3 linked regions of the Rhinolophus ferrumequinum genome follow. The protein of the gene in region 1 interacts with the protein of each later gene in a pairwise test. Links are inferred from orthologs where the notes say so. Each region holds a gene or a part of one and is shown on either strand. Other genes may lie near its edges.

Region 1 (6,855 bases):
CAACAAGAAGGCTTCGTGCAGGGTGACAATGAGCTGGGCCACGCGGAATAAAATAAAGCCCACCATGCAGAAATGGGGAGAGGAACCAAGACAAAGGGCCCGGTCAGAGTAAATGTGCATAAGTGTGTACTATATAGGCAAGGGTAATAGTTATTACAGGAAAAGGGTCCCATGGTCAAGTACATTGGGAAACATTAAGCTAAACAGATTTCTTTACTGTAGGACTTCCCAAAGTCTTTATTTAATATGCTATTGTGTATCATGAATCTCCAAGATGTGAGCCCACAGCATGCGGTACTTCCCAAACTTATTTGACTAAGGAGCCCTTCCAGAGTCCATCCTGTGGAACGACAGGCCTCTTTTTATTGGGGGGGAGGGCAATTACAAGATTCAAGATTAAAGGACATTCAAGGGCAGGTCTTATCCTCTGAAACACCAAATAATTGTAAACCAGTGGTTCTCTACTGGGGGCAATTTTACCCCCACAGGGGACACTTGGCACTATCTAGAACCATTTTGGTTGTCACAAATGAGAAAGTGCTACTAGCATCTAGTGGGTAGAGGCCAGGGATACTCATAAACATCCTACAACAATTTATCTGGCCCAAATGTCAATGGTGATGAGGTTGAGGAACACTGGTATAAATAAAAGGCAAAGACGAAGCTTCCCACAGCCCTTCCATGGTTGGGGAGGGGTCCTTTAACACTGTGGACCACCTAAACTTTCTCTACGGCCCCATATATAAACACACCCTGTTCTCCATTGCTAGCTTCTAGCACATACTCCATCTCTGTTCATACCAACAAACTGCTTCTTGCGTTTTCTGCCCAGAGTATATTCTATGATCCTCATTTATCTTTTTTTTTTCCCAATTACAGGTGACATTCAATAGTATGTTAGTTTCGGGGCGGCCGAGTTGGCTCAGTTGGTTACAGCACGAGCTCTGAACAACAGGGTTGCCGGTTCAATTCCCACATAGGCCAGTGAGCTGCGCCCTCCACAACTAGATTGAAGACAATGAGCTGCCGCTGAGCTTCCAGAGGGGCAGCCGGATGGCTCAGTTGGTTAGAGCGTGAGCTCTCAACAAGGTTGCCAGTTCAATTCACATATGGGATGGTGGGCTGTGCCCCCTGCAACTGAGATTGAAAACGGCAACTGGATTTGGAGCTGAGCTGCGCCCTCCACAACTACATTGAAGGACGACGACTTGGAGCTGATGGGCCCTGGAGAAACACACTGTCCCCCAGTATTCCCCAATAAAATTAAAAAAAAAATACTATGTTTAGTTTCAGGTGTACAGCATAGAGGTTAGACATTACCCTCATTTATCTTTACCCCAAACTAGAAGCATCTGCTACTTCAAGTCCTAGTTCCAATATCATCTGCTCTCTTTGGCAAGGCCAAGGTTGAATGAAGAAGCTGTGGGATGAACACTTCCTGATTTTACTGTAACTGGGAACACTTGGACTTTATCAGTTATAGATGTGTTCTTTCCAACTTTTCCCCAAGCTAAGGATGTTGAAACCCCAGTGAGCACACACAGTTCTTTCCTGAGGCCTGTGAGGAAATCACCTGACTCAGAGGAACAGAAAATGAAAGTAGAGAGGCCACTAACCTGGGCTCAAATCCCAGCTCCCTCACTCCCTACTGGCTGACCATGACATCTAAGTCATTCTCTCTGAGCCTCAACTTCCTCATCCGTAAAATGGGGGTATATGACTTATGTCACAGGGTTGCTGTGAGAGTAAGATGAAATAAGTAATGTAAATGGCTTGTCACTTAATTGTGCCAGTGGGATAAATACCAAATACTGGCTCCTAGCTCTTTCCAGTTTGGCTGGCAAGATTCTCTGCCCCGTTTTGCTGCCAGCCTCCAGTTCTGGGTTGCGCCTGCGCTGGGTGCCCCAGTATGAGACCATTTTCTTCTCAGAGGCTGAGGACAGCAGGCACTCCCTTTTACCCCCCTCACTCTGTCCCCTGCACCCTGCACGTTGGAGGGGCACTTTTCAGGGACTCAAAGTCCGGGGGATATCTGACCCACTTCACTAAGATTGCTCTTCCTTCCCCATCTATCTCCATCTGCCCGGTATACCCCAGCCCTGCAAACACCCTGGGTTTTTCCACCTCCTGGGGGAAATCCTCCCCTCCCTATCCTTCCAAACCTTCCCTTCAAATTGTTTCCCTATTTGGAAAGAAAGCTCAGCGAGGGCAGGATTTTTGCTAATCTCTGCCTAGAATAGGAGCCTGCACACAGTAGGCATTCAACACTTGTAGAATGAGTGAATGCACACACCTACTCCAGGACACCTTGCTGGTCTGCCTTGGCAGCTTTTCCTCCCTGGAAAACCCCGGGTACCTAGCTCCTGACTCCTACTCAACATCCAGACTTCTCAGGATTCTAGATTCCAAATGTAGGTACCAAATTAAAGAGTGGGTCCTCGGCCATTCCAAGGCAAGGACCTTGTCCTGGTTATCTCTGTTCATAACCCACCCACCTCCGCCCCCCAACCACCCCCAGTAGAGAGCGTGGCTCCTGAATCCCTTGGTCACCTGAGATGCAAGCAATTGTAATCACAAGTTTCTGGCAGGAGAAAAGAAACTGAAACCAGTTTGCGGGAACAGGCTCAATCCCCATCCGCAGCGCAGTTCCGGGAGCCAACAACACCCCCGCCGGACGTGCCCTCGCCCCTCAAAACTCCAGCTCTGGCCCCTCCGGAAGACCCACTCCTCCTCGGGGAGGGGGCGGGGATGACAGGGCTCCGCCAGCCTCGCAACCCGGACAAACAAATGCTCAAGGGGAGTCGGGGAGAGAGAGGAGGGAGGAGGAGGTGGGAAGAGCGAGGGGAGCCGGGAGAAAGGGGTCGTCCACACAGTTACCTTCGCCACCCGCTTGCTCGCCGTCATCTCGGCGCGGAGCGTGGGACCCAGCGAGTCCAGCGAGACTGTCCTCCGGCTTGGTGGCGCCCCGCCCCCGAGACGCCACCTCCGGGGGCCCCGCCCGCGCGCCGCCCACTGGTGCGCACGCCGGGCGGTACGGAGCTGATCCCCGCCTCCTTGACTGACACTGGGAGCCGCCGAGGGCTGGACCCTGCGGGCCCCGGCCCGGTCCGCGGCGCAGTGGGCTCGGGTCCCCGGATCTCGCGCTTTTTGTCGGAGGACCCCGAAGGCGTAGGAGCAGGCGACGTGGCCGGATCCCTGTATCCCACTGGGGGGCGCTGTGCACCAGTATGTGAGCGCTCGGAGGCGCGGGGCTGGGGTCTACCCATCCGGGTTCTGGTTCCAGCGCGGATTCTGGTTCACGCTCCACCGCCGGACGCCGTGCAGGGAGGCCCCATTCTCCCCGCCGCCCCAAACACACAGTCTCCCTAAGTCAATACAGGATGTTGGCTATGCAAACGCAGCTCCCGACTGTTCGGCGGACTCCACCATCAGTCCGCGGCCCAAAGACACACACACACACACACACACACACAGATAGACACACCCGCCAGCGAATTCCCGGAGGCTCCCTCCCCCCCCACACACACACAGACGCCAGCGAATTCCCGGAGCCCCCTCGACGAGTTATTTCCCCTCTCTGGGCCCAATGCCCCATCTCTAAAAATGGGTAGGGACGACGCAAACTATACGCCCTCCAAGCACTCCTCCCCTGGCAGCTTGAGATCCTTTGTGAGGTGCAGCCTTCGGTGGCCCAAATACAAGGACGTTTCTTTCCCCCAGGTGGTTTGCTTGGTGAAGAGCACCGCAAGGAGGCGCTTTTGGACCCATTCGCTCTTGCTTTAGGGTTTGGGTTCTTAGGTTTAATAGTTAGTCAAGTGTCTACTATGTGAGGATTGGAAAAACAGTTGGGGGGGCATTAGCATGCATGTACTATACTGAGTGTCAGGCACTGACTTTAGGGAACAGCACGATGAGAAAGTGGGCTCCTTGTCCTTGAGGATGAATGCATTTTTCATGCAAAGTGGTTAAGCACAGGATATATATGGGGAACCATCTGATGCTGTGGGAGCCTGGAGGAGGGTCACCTGATGCAGCCTCAGGGGGGGGCAAAGGTATCCTGGGAGAGAAAAAATCCAAGTGAATTGCAAAGCATAGTGAGTTAGCTAGAGTAAAAACGTGGGATGAGGGTGTTCCCAGATGAGGGAACAGCGCAAGCAAAGGTGCAATGTATGGAAACTGAAAGCAGTTCCATAATGTGGAACAAAGTCTGTCCAGCACCTTCCTTTCTCGTACAGAAGTCCTGCATCCCCAGAGTAAATTCAAAGTCGTGGATTTAGCTCAGCCTCCCCATCCTGGGATGGATCCTAACCACCCACACAGCTGGAAGGCCCATGTGCATGGCCCTTCATATCCTTACACAGTACAGACCTTTGTGTGTAAGAATGAGTCCCAAGGAGACCTGGACTCTTGTTAGTTCTACATTTGCACCCCAGTGCCACATGGCCTTGGGTGGGCTGTGGAACCTCCCACCTGCTTCCCAGGGCCACTGCCAGGCTCAGTTCACAGAAGTGGAGGAACTTTGAAAATTGTAATTCCCAGATATAAATAATCAGGATTCAGTCCCAGCTCTACTATTATTGGCTGAGTAACTTGGGCAAATTACTTAACCAGTCGGTGCCTCCATCTCCTCATCTGTAAAGTGGAGCTAATAATAGTGAATGTGAGGAGTAATGAATTGATATTTGGACAATAAGTGATAGTCATAATAATGTAATATTTGCCTCTGTATGCCTGTAGCATGTCTGGAAGGATATGAGAGACTGTGATGGTCTTTGGGGAGGGTAACTAGGTGACTGGGTATGGGATGGGGAGGAACACTTTTCACTAAAATCCCATTTCCTTTAAATTTTTTTTTTTTTAGATTTTATTGGGGAAGGGGAACAGGACTTTATTGGGGAACAGTGTGTATATCCAGTTCTTTTTCCAAGTCAAGTTGTCCTTTCAGTCTTAGTTGTAGAGGGCGCAGCTCAGCTCCAGGTCCAGCTGCTGTTGTTAGTTGCAGGGGGCACAGCCCACCATCCCTTGTGGGAGTCGAGGAGTCGAACTGGCAACCTTGTGGTTGAGAGCCCACTGGCCGATGTGGGAATCGAACCAGCAGCCTTCGGCATTAGGAGCACTGGAGCTCCAACTGCCTGAGCCACCGGGCCAGCCCCTCCTTTCAAATTTTTGAAACATGTAAATAAACTACCTCTTCAAAAATCAATAACATTTAAATTTTACAATATTCTCTCTTTAAAACTGAAAGGTTTTTGCATAAAAATTTGTATTCCTGGATTCTCTAAAAACAGGAGACTTGGCAATGACCCCTCACGGCAATGGTTGGCTGGAGCCTAGTCAGGGTTGCTCCTTTAGAGCAGGAATGCAGGTCCCAGTTTACCACGGTCCTCACCACAGTGTTTTTCCTGGCCTGCCCAGCCTCATCTGCTTTTTTAGCTGCCTAACCCTGTAAGGATCCCCGGCTCTGGAGTCTCTTTGCACTTACTAACTTGCTATCTCTCAAACCCTCTCTTTTCCTTTCTTGCCCAGGGTCGGGCTTTTTCATGCCCCATGATGGCTGTGGCCTTTGCAAACAGGGAAGTGTACCTGGCTGGAAGGTGTGACAGTGCTTTGTTCCTGGTCAGGACCCTTCCAGGGACTTCACAGGGAAAAATTGTCATCTTCTACACTTGGATGAGGCAGGACTTTCCTTTTTGACAGCTCTTGTTGTTGCCAGAGGTCACAGAGACCATCTGAAAAAGAGTTGGGAAAAAAATACTTTTCAGACACCATAGACAATATGGCACCTCAGCTGTGATTTATAGACTCCAGTAGATACCGTGGGTGCCAAAAAAATGTATACAAGTGGAGACTTTGGTCAACGTTGCTCAAGCAGTAGTTCGCTGTAATCAGAAGTGCCTGCACGCTGATGGTAACCACTTTGAGCACTTCTTGTAATTGCAGAAGTCAAACGTGACTTGTATTCATTGTTTGTTATGGTATATATTATTACAATTTTAATACAGTTTTCCTTTCCTAAAATGTGTATGCATTTTTTTGGCACCTTCTGTACATTTATGTTTGCATGTTAGAGACTAACCTGGAGGATACTTAAGAACCTGATAAAGTAGTTATCGGTTTGGGAGGGAAAAAATGTTGCCTTACATACAGTACACCTTTTTCAGATTGTCTGCCTTTCATCATCTTTGAGTTATTGTACAACTCCCTAAATTGTAGTAACTTATAGCATGCAAAATAATTCTTATAGACCTGCAAATTCTTTCTGTCCAACAGAAGTTTAATTGACTTTCTTTTCCCCACCCCATGGAAAAACCAGTTTTGTTTTATTTACATGTTTATTTCAATATTCTTGATCTACAAATGTGTCTGTTTTCAGATTCTCTTTAATTCTGACATCTGCCTGGTTCCCTTGTTGATTAATGAGTAGAATGAAGTCTTGAACATGTGTCCATTTTATATCTGTACGAGAGGCATGATTTTGCCTTTTTCTGAAAATTATCTTTAATGAGTTGTAGACTCATCTGGAAGGATGCTTAAGAAACTAATGAGTGGTTTATCCATTCTGTGTGTCCTAGGATGGGGTAGGAAGGAGACCTCCTTTCCACTGTTTTGTACTTTTAAAATTCTCTACCATGTGAATAACTATCCATTCAAAACTATAAATGCATACAATATGTTTTTCAAAGAAAATTAAAAGAGGGAAACAAAAATAGGAAGCATAACCTAGAGATAAATAACATGGAATTCAGGGTCAATCAGACCTGGATTAAAGCTCTGACATTTTCTAAGTGATTTGGGGCAAGTTACTTACCTCTCTAAGCTTTAGTTTACCTATAAAATGGAGATAATAATACCTCA
Region 2 (7,472 bases), on another chromosome or scaffold:
TCATGTTCTTCAGAGATCCACCCAGGCCCTTGCTTCTTTCCTTACACATGATTTCTTTGAATGATCTCATCCACACCCATGGGATCAGTGACCTCCAGATTAATAAAGTCCAAATCAATGTATTTAGCAACTTACTTTCTCCTTGAGTATCATACTCTTATCAACTGCCTATTAGATTTCTTCACTCAATAATCACATCAATATCTGCAATTCAACATATTGAAAACTAAACCCATTCTCTCGAAAATCTCTCCTCTTTTTACTCCTTCATTTAATGGCTTTGTTGTCCACTTTGTTGCTCAAGTTTGAATATTTAAAGTCATCTCTGGCTTCTCTTTCTTCGCAACTCCCCACATCCAATCCCCTGGATTCCAAGCCTGTCTCTAAATGTCTCTCATCACATCTTTTCTTTCAGGCCACATCACCTCGCTCTATAACTGTTATAAAAGATTCATTACTGGTCTCTCCCTGAAGCCTTATCCTTACTGAAAAATTAGTTCACCAAACAAGGTAAAATTTTGCAAGTCTTACAGACTCGCTGGTGTGTTTGTGTGGTCAACACAGATTAGTCTTTTAAAACTCAAAACATCGTCTTCTCCATGAAGCATTCCTCGTATCTCTGAAGTTGAGACTCCTTCCCCTCCCCTGTGCACTGTGTTCCCTTAATACTTTGTTCATATCTTTATTACCGTACTTAGGCAGCAATTATATTGTAATTACTTATTTACATGTTTACTTTTATAGTAAACATCTGTTAAGTTGTCTGCCTAGAGTACTCTTTCTGAAGAGCTGCCTTCCTCCCAACCTCCTCACATACCCTTCCATCCTCCTCCCCAATCCTATGCTAGCCACCATCCATATAGTTACATGACGAACTCTCGTAGGCATGTTTTTACTTCATGACCCTGACACCCTGTTCTCCTTGACTGGGCAGCTGACCCAAGTAAGGCCACTTAGTCCCCTCCCTGGGAAACTGGAATTTAGATAGATTGAAGATGAAAGTGAATTAGGATAAGGGAAGAACAGAAATTCATGATTGTATTTAATTCCCAGTTCCAGATTGTTGAGGAAGCCTGTCTGCGTCCATGCCTCTGGCTTCCAGGTGACAGTTCTGTTACCTTTTAAGCAATTCCCTTCCCCCCTCCTTAAGTTATCTTGACTGCATTTCTGTTACTTGCAACCATAGAGTTCCTAAGTCCACTGACTGAATTCAAGTGTAAGGACCTTGCCTTGGTCATCTTTGTATATCCAGCACTTCCCATAGTAACATGGTAGACAGTATGACATAGATATAAAATGGGTAGTAGATACAAAAATATTTGTGAAATGAATGAGGAAAGAAAGGCAGAAAGAAAGAAAGACAGAAAGAAAGAAAAAGAGAGAGAGAGAGAAAGAAAAAGAGAAAGAAAAGTGAACAGTTTTAAAATAAAAAGAGAAGAGAAATAGAAATGAAAAAATACGAAGGAAAATTGAGGCGAATAGAATTGAAATGAGAGAGAGAGAAAGCCACAAATAACAACAACAAAAGAATCATGAAGAGCATGATCTAGGGGTAAAATGCCAGGCTGTCCTGCTCTAGCTCTGCTCTCCTAAGTTGAGCCAGCCCTTCCCCCTTGCTTTCACCTCTGCCCATCTGTCTCAGTCAGAAGGGAGGATCCAGCAGGGGAGCCCTGTCACCTCAGAGCACCCTTGCCCTGGCACTCATGCTTTCCATGAGATCTTCTGTTTACAGCCCACCATGGTTACAGCGAAATAATTCAGCTCCCAGTGGCAGCCATAGATGTCTAGAACTTAGTGAAGCTAGAGAGCGTGGCCTAGTAACTAGAAGGAGCACGAACTTTGAACCCACTTTTGAACAGATGGGTTCAAATTGAGGAAGGTCAGAAAATGATTAGATAGGCGGAGTGAAAGATGGTAGGAATAAAATAACTTTCCAAAGGAGAAGAAAGCTGGGGTAGGAGCATGCTGGTGTGCTGTTACACAGTAGGAAATTTAGAATATAAAAGTGATTTCTCTGTGTCAAATTTTTCTTTAATTTATTCCACTACTGTTATAAATCAACATTCTTTTTTGCCCTTGAACTGTATGAGATAGTTACTATATAAAAAAAAAAAATACTTCATTAAAAAAACCCAAACAAACCATTTTCTCTCTATCTCTAATTTGTACTTCTATTGTTTCTCAGTTGTTCACCACAATTGACTCTCCTCCCTCCACACCTCTCTTCAGGAAAAGTGTGTCTCTCTAGGGACTTGTCATGGGACTGAACTTAGATTCCACAAACAGGCGCATCTGTACGCTAGTATTCAGTGATCATCTGCCCCTCCCAGAGCTCTTCTCCCTGATTCCCTCTCATTCCTAACCCCATCGTCATTTGAGAAAGACAACCTCTGCAGCCAGTAGTCTTTCTCAAGCAAAAATCTGATCGAGCCATTACCTCGCCTACAACATTTCAATGCTACCCCGTTGTCTATGGGATACAGTGCGTTTTGAAAACGTGGCCTAGAAGGCTCTCCATGATCTTGCCTCTGCTTACCTCTGCAGCCTTGTTTCCTATTCTTCCTCGCAGCCACTCACACTGCCACCCATAAGAAGAAATCCAGCCATAAAGAACTTCTTTAAATTTTTTGAATTGCCCTGTTCTTTCTTACCTTTGGCTTTCCATGCTTTACCCCTACTGGAAAACTCTTTCTCCTCCTAGTCTCCTTTCCCTGGTCAAATGACTCTCACTCTTCATGTCTCAGCATAAAAGTCACTTCCTCTGGGCTTCATGTATACTGCTTTCTGTGTGTGCCGTCCTCCATCAGAGAATCTACTTTTAACAGCCTGTGTACTTGTCTGTCCCCCTATTCAGTTTGGTGAAGTTGGGGAAGTTGCCTTTCTTGTTAACTTTTTTATCCCTAGCACCCAGCAGTGTCTTGAACTAGCAAGCATTCAATAAGTATTGGCGGAAGGAATAAGAAATCTTTGTGCTAACCTTGCACTACCCCTCTTCCTATATCACCCAAGCTGGTCCTTTCAGTTGCAATAACTTGTTTGATGAGTTCATCATCTGATAACCACCTCCTGCCCAATATAGAAGCCTGACAATTCTAGTATGTATCCAATTTTTTCCAGTCCTCAGATTAGAAAATTATCTGATCAAGGTAATGGGTTAATGGATTAATATGGAGTCTCTCATAGGTATTTTGCATTATCAGGGCTCTGTAATAAACTGGTTGCTTCTCATTAGGGTTTCCAGGCGAGAATTCCCTCCCGTTCGCAGGAATTTTTTTCGCTTTCCCCGTTCCCGAATCCCGAGAAAAATTGGTCGGGAAATCAGGAAAATCGGCTCCTTGAACCCAAGTGGTTGGTAGTATTGGCCATCACTTTGTGGAAACGATTCATTGTGGAGAATAGAAAACAGTTTATATCTCGAGATTTGGGAAAGGGAAAGCGGAAAAAAATTCCTGAGAATGGGCGGGAATTCCCCACCTGGAAACCTTACTTCTCATGTTAGTTCCTAGCATCTTTGAAATTATAGCATGACCGATTATGAGTAATGCTATGCCGCCTCTATCCTACTCCACAAATATATAGTATAAGGATAGGTAAATGAATGAATGAATAAATGGACTGCCATTTAACTAATCCCTTCACAGTCCCACTGGGGATTATGTCACTCCAGCTCCTGAGTCTTAGTGATACAACGGTGTTTTCATTGATCCCTTCGAATCGTTTTTACCTTTTATGTTATTCAGTATGCTCTGCTCATTGCTAGTTCCCTCGCTGTTAAAACTCTGAGTACATCCACTTGTTCCTTTTCAGAACTTTGACTTTGGAATTGCGTCTCTTCTAAGTGAGAACAGAGGCTCTGGGCATGCTCAGTAACCAAAGCCAGGTGTAATTAACTGCTCTGGCCCAGACTGGGGAGCCCTGACAGGTGGCAGGCATTGACAGTGATGGCAAAATAGACTTGCCAAGACTTGTACAGCTGAACATATTTTCTCCGAGGCCAATCTAACATTCTGGCAACCTAAGTTTAAATAGTGGGGACGTCAGGTTTTTACAAACAATAAAACGGAAGGAGTTATTTTGGAAAAATTAAAATGACTGGCAGGAGATTCTCAGAGCACAATCTACGTGTTAAGTGATGTGGTTAAGACAGATGAGGACAGAGACGGTGTGTGTGTGTGAATGGAAGCCGTGCCTGTCTTGAACCTCACTGGGCAGATCAAAGATATTTTAAAGGATTTTCTGAGATCGCCCAGAATTTCAAGGATTCCAGTCGCTGCCTCCTTGCTAAGAGAGCGCGTTTCTGGGGGAGGTGTGTGCGTGCACGCGCCGGGGGAGGGCAGGCTCGGAGAGGGGCCACCGCTCTCCGGAATAAACAGCAGGGGGAGAAGGGGAGCGCGGCAAAACGCTGCCGGAGGGGAGAGGAGGCAGGCTGCAGGGGGAGGGCGGGAGAAGCGGGCCGAGACGCGCTCAGGGGGTTGGAAGCAATTCACCCGAATGTCTCGGAGACCCGGGACGGCTGTCGGGCAGAGCTGCCAGCGGACACCCAGCGGCACGCGCCCTCGCTGGGACCCTGCGCTCCCGGGTCCCCCGCTCCGCACTCCGACCTCGCGCGCAAGGTAAGGAGGGGTGCGGCGTGCCGCCCTCCCTGGAGCGCGGCCAGGCTAGCGTACCAGGTGCCGTTCGGCCTCCTCAGGTTGTCACCTCCTTCTTCCTCCCTCGCCCCCTCCCGGGTTCTCCTCGGCACCCGGAAGCCCTGGGCGATCGGTCGGCAGGGACTCGGACCCTCGGTCATCCCGGCTTCTACTTCGCGGTGCGGGGGACCCGTCTCCTTCCCAACCTCACTCCCCCCACCCCGCCCCGGGCAGCTCCCCGACACCGACGCCCTAGGGGAGCATCTCACCAGGTGCGTGCGGCGCAAACACCCGCGGTTCCCCTCCAGTATGCCACGATTTCCAGGCTGAAATATCACAGATCCTCTCCTTCCAAAATATACCTGCCCACCCCCCGGCCTTCTGTAATCATTCTAACTTTAGGGGGATATTCGCCCTTGGTCAAGGTAGGTATATCGTCTTATCTTTTGTATCTGCACCAAACAATAGGTTGAGGGTCTTCGGGGTTTAATTTTCCTGAAAATCAAATACTGTGATAAGTTTAGAAGGTTTTCTGGGTGACTGCGGTGCTAGAACTTTGTAACAGCCTAAAGCAATAAGGTCCTAGTCCGGAGCTGAGATCCTGATTCAGAAATCTGTGTATATATTTAAAAAGCACTCCAGGTGATTGCGATACGTTCTCCCCGCATCAGCACTTGGAAGTATCTGTAAGGCCCGCGTAGGAGGGAGAGGAGGTATTTGGAAGTCTCATCTGGAAGATGGGTGTGTCAGGAGAGAATAAAAACAGAGTTATAAGCTGGTTCCCTTTTAGTTGATAAATTTGGTGGGATACCATTGGTTCAGAGATGGCAATTTTGGAAAGGGAGAGTCATTGGAAACAGCTAGAGGGTGGAGAGAGGAAAATACAGTAGTTCTAAGAACCCTTGTTAAAGAGTTCGATTTTAAACATCAATTTTTAAAATGTAAGAATTCCTTGACAAGTACTTTGGCGATGAGAAAGGGCTGAGGCCTACACTCATGGCAATCAGAAAATCTTGCTTCACTGTATTTGCACCGACTGACTTTCTGTCAATGACCACTAGCATTTTTGCAGGCTGGTTACTTTAAATCTAGAGACAGAAATGGACTATTATCTCTAGGAACCAGAAGGAGGAATTATCATTTAAATTTAGATCCTGTTTACATTCCTAATTATTTGAACCAAGCTCTTTTACCCTGAATTGGTTAAGAGTGTCTAAATTATATTGTATTTGAATTTACACATATAACTGAATATTTCTCCGTCTTACACTTTGTGACAGATGTACATCTGCTGCTTTTCATATATATCTGTATATGTACCTGAACCATTTTAAGTACCTAACAAACTCTCAGAGTATAACTGCCAGGCAAAATAAAGATTTCTATTTGTCTTTTGGAAAATTGAGGTGGAGGACTAACTTTTTAAAATACCATGAAGTAGGTATACTATTAAATCATACAACTTTCAACAAAATGAGATGCTTGTTATGAAATAGGGATGGTATTTGGTACCTGCTTTCAAGGATATTTAGGACAAGCAAGAGACCGTCTGTAAAGCATTTTGAACTTTAAGAGAAGAGTCATTGTCTAGGTATTGAGCCAGTGTGATTGTTTTCCTGGCAAACTTTTTCTTCTTTCTAAAATTAACTTTCCCTTAGGAAAAGATAGTGCAGAGGCACACGATTCAGCAGCTAACTAGGTCCAGAAAATACTGTTTGAATTTTAAAAGTGACCTTAATTCATCCCTACAGATCTGGTGTTTGCAGCCTATGTCACAAAATATGCAGAAATATTCCTTGTTTGCTGACCTTTTCAAAGCATTGGCTTAATGAGGGGAGTTATGGACAGGGTACAAATTATGTTCTGAATTTTGTTGGCTTAGGCAAAATTATTATCTTTTTTTTCCTAAGGTTTTTTGTGTATATGTGTGTACACTGGGTCCGGGACTTACATAATTATGTATATATATGTAACACATGTTTTTAATAGGAGCAAAACCCACGATATTTTTCTTTGTGGCAGAACACTGTAAGCATTAGGTTTTGATTACTTTTTCATGGAAATTTTAATATGACAGAACTAAAAACTTCAAGGAAATAATTCCATAAAGATCTATTTGGAACTGAAGGCCTTTTTAATAAAACATGTTTGAAGCCCTTAGTCTGTGTGCTAAGCATACTTATAGCAGTCCTTGGTGAACCAGTAAAGGTGGTAGATCCAATTCTGGCAGCTTCAGACAGTGGATGATTAGACCCTGCCATTCTTCTCCAGACCTTTAATTTGGTCTGTAACTTGATGCTTCACTGACCCCACACTCTCCCTGCCACTCTAGCTCACAGAGGAATTGCTGGCACTCTGGACTGAATTTTTTCCCTCCCATCAATTAGAACAAGTTTGCGTTGGTTGCAGAATGCAGTTACATTTTTAGCTCAGTATTCTAGGAAATACCTTGGGCCACGAAGAGAGTAGTCTTAGTGTAGCCTAGATCACAAATTGCCTTATTTAATTGTGCTGTTAATTTCCCAGTGATTCAACTATGCAGAAATAATAGTCCTAGAGTACTAAAATTGGAAAGCACTTTAGAAGTCATCTAGATTCTGATCCTTTTTACCGGTGGATACTGGAGCACTTATAGCCATAATCCACACTTTGAGAATATCCATTAAATTATATATTCTTTCCAGTTCTTGTAGTAATGAAGACTTTACTCATTTTAAATGAATATATGTATATGAGTTCAATAATGTAGGAATGGCAGCGAAGTATGTCACACATCTCAGCCAGATTTCTAATGAAACTCAGTGTGATGCTAAAAGGGATGTGGGTCACTTACAAAGGTGCCGA
Region 3 (7,201 bases), on another chromosome or scaffold:
TGAATATCTGGAATTGAGTCCTGACACAAGTCTTTAAAACTCTGTGACTGAGTTTGAGAAGCACCCATTGTTAAGAATTTCCAAGATAGAAGTGTTCGAGTTTGGCAAAGAGATAGCCCACAAGTTGTAAAGTAAGGTTGCATAATACCTGAAACACAGGTATAAGATGATTGTTGTTAAACTGTTTATCTGGGTCCCTGTCCTCAAAGGGCTTCAGTCTGGCTGGGGAGAAGAATCTCAGACATTGGAACAAGAAGGAGCTGTTAGGAGGGAGCTCAGGTGCAAAGCAGGTTGTCAGTTCTGGTTGAAGCCTGACATTTCCTCCTGACTTCCTACCCCAGTGAATACTGTTGTCTTTGTTTCCCACAGATTATGGGGAATTTTCACCATGAGAGGGCAGTACTGTGTTAGTGTCCAGGGCACACATTTACTGAGCACTTCTGATTTGTAAAACTACTCATCGCTAGATTAACCTCAGGAGTTTTATTGGACAGAAGGCCCAAGAGTCACAATTTGGTAATGGGACCTTGTTTCTTTTATTTATATTTTGTAACACTCTGGCTGCAGAGGAGGAGCTAATTTAGAGTCAGTTTGCACTCAGAGCAATTTCAGGAAGAGATGGTATTTGATATAGATAGAACAGCCCTCCTGGTAAAAATCCAGTAAACCTACCCACCTCCATGACAGACCTCAATGTGGACTCAACTCAAGCCCACCAGTAAAACGTAATCAATAATCCACTATACAAATGGTCTTCCTGCTTCCTGATGTGGTTAGCCTTACACACCGCTAGAAAACTTACCTGAAATTTAATCTATGTCATTCCCTGGCCAAAAAAGCTCCTCAGTTCTTTATTGCATCAGAATAAACTACAAATAGCTCAGGGGCAATCGGAGCTTTTCATAGTTTCATGCTAGTTTACTTCTTCAACTTTGTTTTCCCCTAGACTATATCTTCATCTCTGAGCAAACTGAGCTTCTCCTGATTTACCATACAGATCTGCTACTTAACTGCCCCTTTTCACATATTTTCCTCTTTAGCACAGGTGTCTTTTCTCTCTCCACTCTGTAACATGTTGATACAAGAGGTGTATCTGAGTTGCTACCATATGCTAGACATCGTCCAACCAGTGGTTCTTAGCCATTTGTGGGGAGGAAAATCCCTGGCACCCTCTCCCCAGAAAAATGTACATATGCACATGTACCTCCAGGTTTGCTTTCAATTTCATGGGAACTTGAAGCTGTCCTTGGACTCCAGATGAGAAATCTTGTTCCTAGACCCTGGGAATCAAACATGAAAAAGGGGCTAATTTTCCCAATGTCTATCCTTCCTTTCTTCTCTTTCCTTCTTTCTTAGCTCAAATTCCACGTCTGGGCTGAAATCTCTCCAATTTCTGTGCCTCTCATGGGCTCCAATCCTGCCTCTCTAGCTGCCCAAAGAGATCTTGAACTCAGTACACCTGAAAGTAAGTGATATCCAGGAAAAAGGAACCAGATAACAGATCCATATATACACGGGAACTTAGATCATCATAAAGGCGCTTTTCTAAATAGTGGATAAAGAATGATCTATTCAATAAACGGTGTTGGGACAACTGACTCTCTACACATCCTACCAAACACAAATTCTGGATGGATTTAAGAGCTCAACCTAAAAAACAACAATATAAAATATAAGCATTTTGTACATGTCCTTCCAGGACCCTTTCTATGCATCTACATATGCATTTATATCTAATAGGTACACACACAAACACACATTTACACAAAACCTTTTTCATTAAAAAAAAGCTATTGTAAATATAATTCCGCTTTTTTACTCAGTGAAAGGTGCTATTATCCCCATTTCACAAATGAGAAATCTAAGTCATAGAGAGGTAAGTTTCCTTGCGCAAGGTCACTCTGCTAGGAAGTTGCCAAACTGGGATTCTCACCCTGGCTATCTGGCTCCAGACCCTACCTTTTGTAGGCCTCTAAGGCCAAAGCCTATGAGAGAGAGCTTTGGAGGGTTTTGAACAAGGAAATGACATGTTTTATGCTTTAAAAAGATCTCTTTAAACAACGGAGAGAACAGATTTAGTAGAGCAAGGGTGGGTAGATGCACGGAAACTACCTTAGTTAAGCGACCTGCTCACATCCAGGGACATATTGTGATGGCTTGCTCTGGAGCACCAGGTGGTGGGAAGTGCCTAATCAGGACATATTGTGGAGGTATGGCACGTAGGAATTGCTTATGGATTGAATGTGGAATTTGAAAGGGAAAGAAGAGTCATGGGAGACTGGTGAATTTTTGGTCTGAGTAAATAGTGAGAGATAATGACATCACTGAGCTCAGAAACACTGGGCGGGGGGTGCGGGGAAATGCCAAGTTTGGAGATAAAATTGAGTTTTGTTTGGGACATGTTAAATCTGAGTGCTAACATGACATCCCAGTAGGGGTGTTGAATGGACAGTTGAATGTATTGAGTGTGGAGTTCAGGGGATTAGGTAGGCCTAGAAATAAAAGCCTAGAAGTCATCAGTGTATTGGAGGTACATACTTAATTAGGCAAAGAGCTTGGATAAGGTCATTAGAGAGTGAGGGTAGATGGAGCAGAAGCTGAAGATGGAGCCCACCGACTCTCCTGTGCAGTACTCCTCACAGCAATTTCATACTTACTTAAATATTCCTCTAATTTCTGAATCCGCTACTAGGCCAAAGCTCTTTGACTGCAGGGACCATGGTCTCCTGCCCTCTCCATTAAATCTAACAACATGGTACCTGGCCTATAGCTGGGCTCAAAGAATCAAAGGCATTTTTCAAAGGTGATTTGGCTGTATCTATCACAATGTAAACTGAGCATAGAAGTTTACTCACTAATTCCATTTCATTTTCCAAAAATTCCGAACCATTTTCACATCTATGCAAACAGTAGTACATCCAAGGGTGTTCATTGCAGCACCAGTTGTCATTTCACCTGAGTGAAAAATCAGAAACAGATGACCTGCAAAAGGAGCGTGGTAAGATGACAGTATAATCACACTAGGAAATATTGAAGATGTGGTAGGCTCAGGAGCCAGACGGCCAGGGTTAGAAGCTTAGCTTGGCCACTTCCTAACTTTAGAGCAATTACCACACCTTCCTGTGTCTTAGTTTGCTAATTTGTAAATTGGGAATAATAATAGGACCTTCTACTAAATGAAGAAAGCAGGATGATATTTATAACAGCCTGTTAAATTTTTTAGAACTTTGTATAAATATATGTGTATATGTGTATAAATACAGATATGTATGTAGATGCACAGAAAAGGGTCCTGGAAAGATGTGCACCAAACTCTGGAAAATGGCAGCAATCCTGGATAGGGTAGAGAGTTGGAGTGAGTTAATGGGAATATTCACATGTTGCTATCAACACTGTTGTATAAATTTTTCACAACTTTAATGTATCAATATATTATCGTGTAATTAAAATCAATAAAGGCAAAGATGAAAGACATATGTATGATATATATGTAACATATGCTACGTGACAGATTACATTTTCCAAAGATGGCCACACCAACATGTATCCCATTCCATATGTTCTTCTTACAGTGTGATATCGTGTTGGTATTCCTCCATCAGGGGTAGGGTTTCATTTCCTCTCCTTGAACCTGAGAGGACCTTTGCTTGGACCAATAAGATGTGGTAGAAATAATGCTGTGTGACTTCAAAGGCTAAGTCATAAAAGGAGATATGGCTTCCACTTGGTTCTAAGGCACTTATCCTTGGAACCCAGCCACCATATTTCCAGAAAAACAAGGTCACATGGAGAGGTTGTGTATACGTGTTCTGACTGACAGTCCCAGCAAGGCCACTACCAGATGCACGAGTAAATAACTATTCCTGTAATTTTAGCTCTCAGAGTTTGAATCTTCTAGCTGAGGCCCCAGACACTGAGGAGCTGAAATAAACCATTCCCCCAGATTCCTGTAAACTGTCCAGATTCCTGTCCCACAGAAACCATGAGAGTTTAGATATATTTTACACACATATATATTTTGAAAATGGAATAGCACATTGTTTCACATCCTAGTCTTATCACTGAAGAATGTATCATAAGTACCTTTCCTTGTCAAGAGGGGCCTTTGTATAGCATGATTGTTGATGGCTTTCTTTATTGTATATTTTACCATAATTTAACAAACCCTTACTTTTGGACGCTTGGGATGCTGCAAACTTTTTCCTGTTAGAATCATCATTCCAAAGCACATAAATGCGCACAAATTTTTATGTGTATCCTTAAATGTTTTGGCTTAATTTTTAAATTTACTTCCTGGGGAGAGATTGCCACTAGTTAAAAATATTATCATCAACCCAATAAATGTTTATTTAATGGAGTAATACTGAAAACAAGGTTGGATCTGTGCCCTTAAGAAACTCACCTTCACCAGGGGAAAGACACATGAACAAATAAAGAGGATTCCAATATATTGTACATGCACCAGTATGCTTGTGACCTCATTCTCTATTTAGCAAGTGCAATAATGCTACAGAAAGACTGATTGTTCCCCTTATTCACTGGAATTTATTACCAGCAACCCAAAGTGAGAGCTTCTAATTGACATTTCATTTGCAGAAAATATAATTTGGACCCTTTGCTAGTATAATTTAAAGGGATATGTTTTCTCAAAACAAATGTATTAAGGTACACTGGATGATAGACTTTTATGTTGCTAAATACCAAATTCATAATCCTACAATATATTACTCATTGCTATTAATTTTCACTCCAAATTAATTTGGGGCTTTCCAGTATGTGTTTGACTGCATCTGATCTTGGTCCATGTTCTGTGTTAAAACTGGAAGCTGAAACCCGTATGTAAGAAATACATGAGTGCATACAAGAAGCAAGCACTAAATTAGAGAGCCCGTTACACATCATTTGTCTCGAATATCAGTACATACACGACTGGTGTACGGGTGGAAATCGTTTGGATTATCTACGGACTTGCACATCCCAATACAATGCCTAACATCACCAGCTTCACACTGGCGTTTGCACTCGTGCAGCAGCAACCTGAGTGAGCCTCCGTGGCTCGCTCCATCCATAACACTTGACAACAGGTCCTAGTAGGTACTAGAAGTCATAACTGGCACTTCTTATACTGTTTGAAGAAACTGGGCAGCAAGGCAATTAAGAGTCAGCCTTGTACAGTCACTGGAAAGCCGAAGAACTGGGCGGCGAATCCAGTTGAGGAAACGGGAGTGAAAACCCGGCGAGGTCCTGCGGCTCGGGGGCCAACAGGCCACAACCTGAGCGTAGGCGGAATTCCGGCCCGGCGCGCTGACCCGAAGGCCCTGTTCTCCTTCGTCCAGCGAGCCGAAGGGAAACAACAGTCCTTTACCAACTCCACCGACGTCAGGATGTCTTCCCGGTACCCGACACTCGAGTTTACAAACAGTGAAGTAAGGAGTCCATCAGAAAAACGCGGGTTAAAAATATCCTGGCGGGCAGCGCTGGGAGGCGAAAGCCAGAAGCGATGCCGTGACTGCGCTCCAGTAAGCCGAGCCCTCTCGTCTGCTGCCTCTCGCAGCCCTCCGCGCCGGCCGTGCCCTGGTCAGACCCCGGGATCCAGCGCCGGGATACCACAGAGCGCCAGCAGAGGGGTACTATTACCCAGCGCACGCCTCGACCCCTGCGACCGCGGGTCGACCCCGGCCCGGAAGTGACGCAACCACGCCGAGCACTTCCGGAGCGGCGGAGACGGCTCCGCTGGAGGAAGCGACGCGGGCCTTGACCGGCGTCGGCTTGCCGCGTCCGCCGCCGCCGCCGCCGCCGCGCTTGTGTCCGATCCCTCTGGCCCCGCCCAACCCGGTCTGGCCCGTCCGGGCTCAGCGGCCGCGGGGTCGCGCCTTCCGGTAAGTGTGAAGCGCGAATCGTGGCCTTGTTTACCCGGCGGGTCGGGGGAGGGGGTGGGCTTTCCGTGCGCCTCCCTAGCCCGACTGGGGCTCCGCCTTCGTCGCCGCCTGCGAGGCCCCGGCGTCCGCGGTCGCCGGTACAGTCTCAGCGCCCCCCGCCGTCCGCGGACGGACGGCTGAAAGCTACGGCCGGGGCGGCCGAGCGCCTGGCGTCTCCGTTATTCCTTCTTCCGCCGCCTTCTCAGCTCGCGGAGAGGTCGGAGGCCGTCGCCTCTGACCGACTGGCGCCGGCCTATCTGGGCCCTCCCCACCGGGCGCGCCGGGGAAACGCGCCACCTCCGGGGCTCCCCGCTCAGGTCATTATGGAGAGCTCTCCCAGGGCCGCCCGCGCGATTAGTTAACGCCCGCTTCTGAAGGGTCCCCCAGCGCGTGAGTTCCGTGTCCTCGCGGATGTCCCGGCGCCTCGGCAGGGACCAGTGGCCCAGGAGCTGCGCCGCGGTGGTAGCCGCCGGAGAGGCAGCCGCCTTCACGGATGACTTCACCTCCGTACGGGTTGTTGCTCTGTCCCGTAGAACTTTGTCACAGTGGACATATTCTATGACTTTGCCACACGTAACCATTGTGGCTAGTGTGACTGAAAAACCAAACTTTAAATTGTATTTAAGTTTTAACTTAACCACTTGTAGCTAGTGGCTACCCTGTTTGACAGTGCGGGCATTAGGGTAGGGTGTTGAAACCAAGTTGCTGGTTCATATTTTTGTACCAAGTAGTTCTCTTTGGAAATGTCGGCTTAGTAAAGGACCATTCGGTGCTAAATACTATATATGAAGTAAACACCGTCAGATTCACACAAAAAAGTCCGTTTTATTCTTGTCAACTTGAAAACTGAGTCGTCTTCAGCTTAGCTCCCTTAGTCCAGGGTGGGTGTCAGGTCTTCTGAACACATAACTTTGTGGGGAAAAGTAATTTCTTTTACTCCCTTTCGGACTGGGATGTAGGGATAATATTTAACATCTAAGAAATTAAAAGCATTGTCATCATTTCTGCTAATAAGGCAATAACATACTGTCCCCTTTGAGCTATGTCAGCGCTAGGAATATTTAACTTTGGCAAGATTGAAAATTAAGTGTTTATTTAAATCTGGACCTAGAATACCCAGTAAGCACGAATGGCCTTCTCTTTTTTCAGGTTCCCCTTTAGGAGAGGAGCCTTGATTCTTGAATATTTAGTTGGTGAGGAGTCTGGGCAGCCTCTAAACCCAAATCCTGGGGAGAAGTCCAAAGAAAGTGAAAACATGCTCTTTTGCTGTGATTCTGGAGGTA

What was found. The genes of interacting proteins can lie anywhere in the genome.
Region 2: the proteins of UBE2L6 (region 1) and RNF144B interact in binary tests that used the Homo sapiens proteins (3 or more experiments, as listed by UniProt). The link is inferred for Rhinolophus ferrumequinum from reciprocal best matches to the Homo sapiens genes UBE2L6 and RNF144B.
Region 3: the proteins of UBE2L6 (region 1) and ARIH2 interact in binary tests that used the Homo sapiens proteins (3 or more experiments, as listed by UniProt). The link is inferred for Rhinolophus ferrumequinum from reciprocal best matches to the Homo sapiens genes UBE2L6 and ARIH2.

The regions. Positions count from the first base shown.
Region 1 is NC_046294.1:11,574,525-11,581,379, reverse strand, and holds the start of UBE2L6 (ubiquitin/ISG15-conjugating enzyme E2 L6), read right to left. Parts: upstream 3,008-6,855; 5' UTR 2,905-3,007; coding exon 2,878-2,904; intron 1-2,877. UniProt on the Homo sapiens protein: Catalyzes the covalent attachment of ubiquitin or ISG15 to other proteins. Functions in the E6/E6-AP-induced ubiquitination of p53/TP53. Promotes ubiquitination and subsequent proteasomal degradation of FLT3.
Region 2 is NC_046292.1:76,829,469-76,836,940, reverse strand, and holds the start of RNF144B (E3 ubiquitin-protein ligase RNF144B), read left to right. Parts: upstream 1-4,463; 5' UTR 4,464-4,613; intron 4,614-7,472.
Region 3 is NC_046300.1:7,302,140-7,309,340, reverse strand, and holds the start of ARIH2 (E3 ubiquitin-protein ligase ARIH2), read left to right. Parts: upstream 1-4,192; 5' UTR 4,193-5,879; intron 5,880-5,999; exon of another isoform or gene 6,000-6,235; intron 6,236-7,201.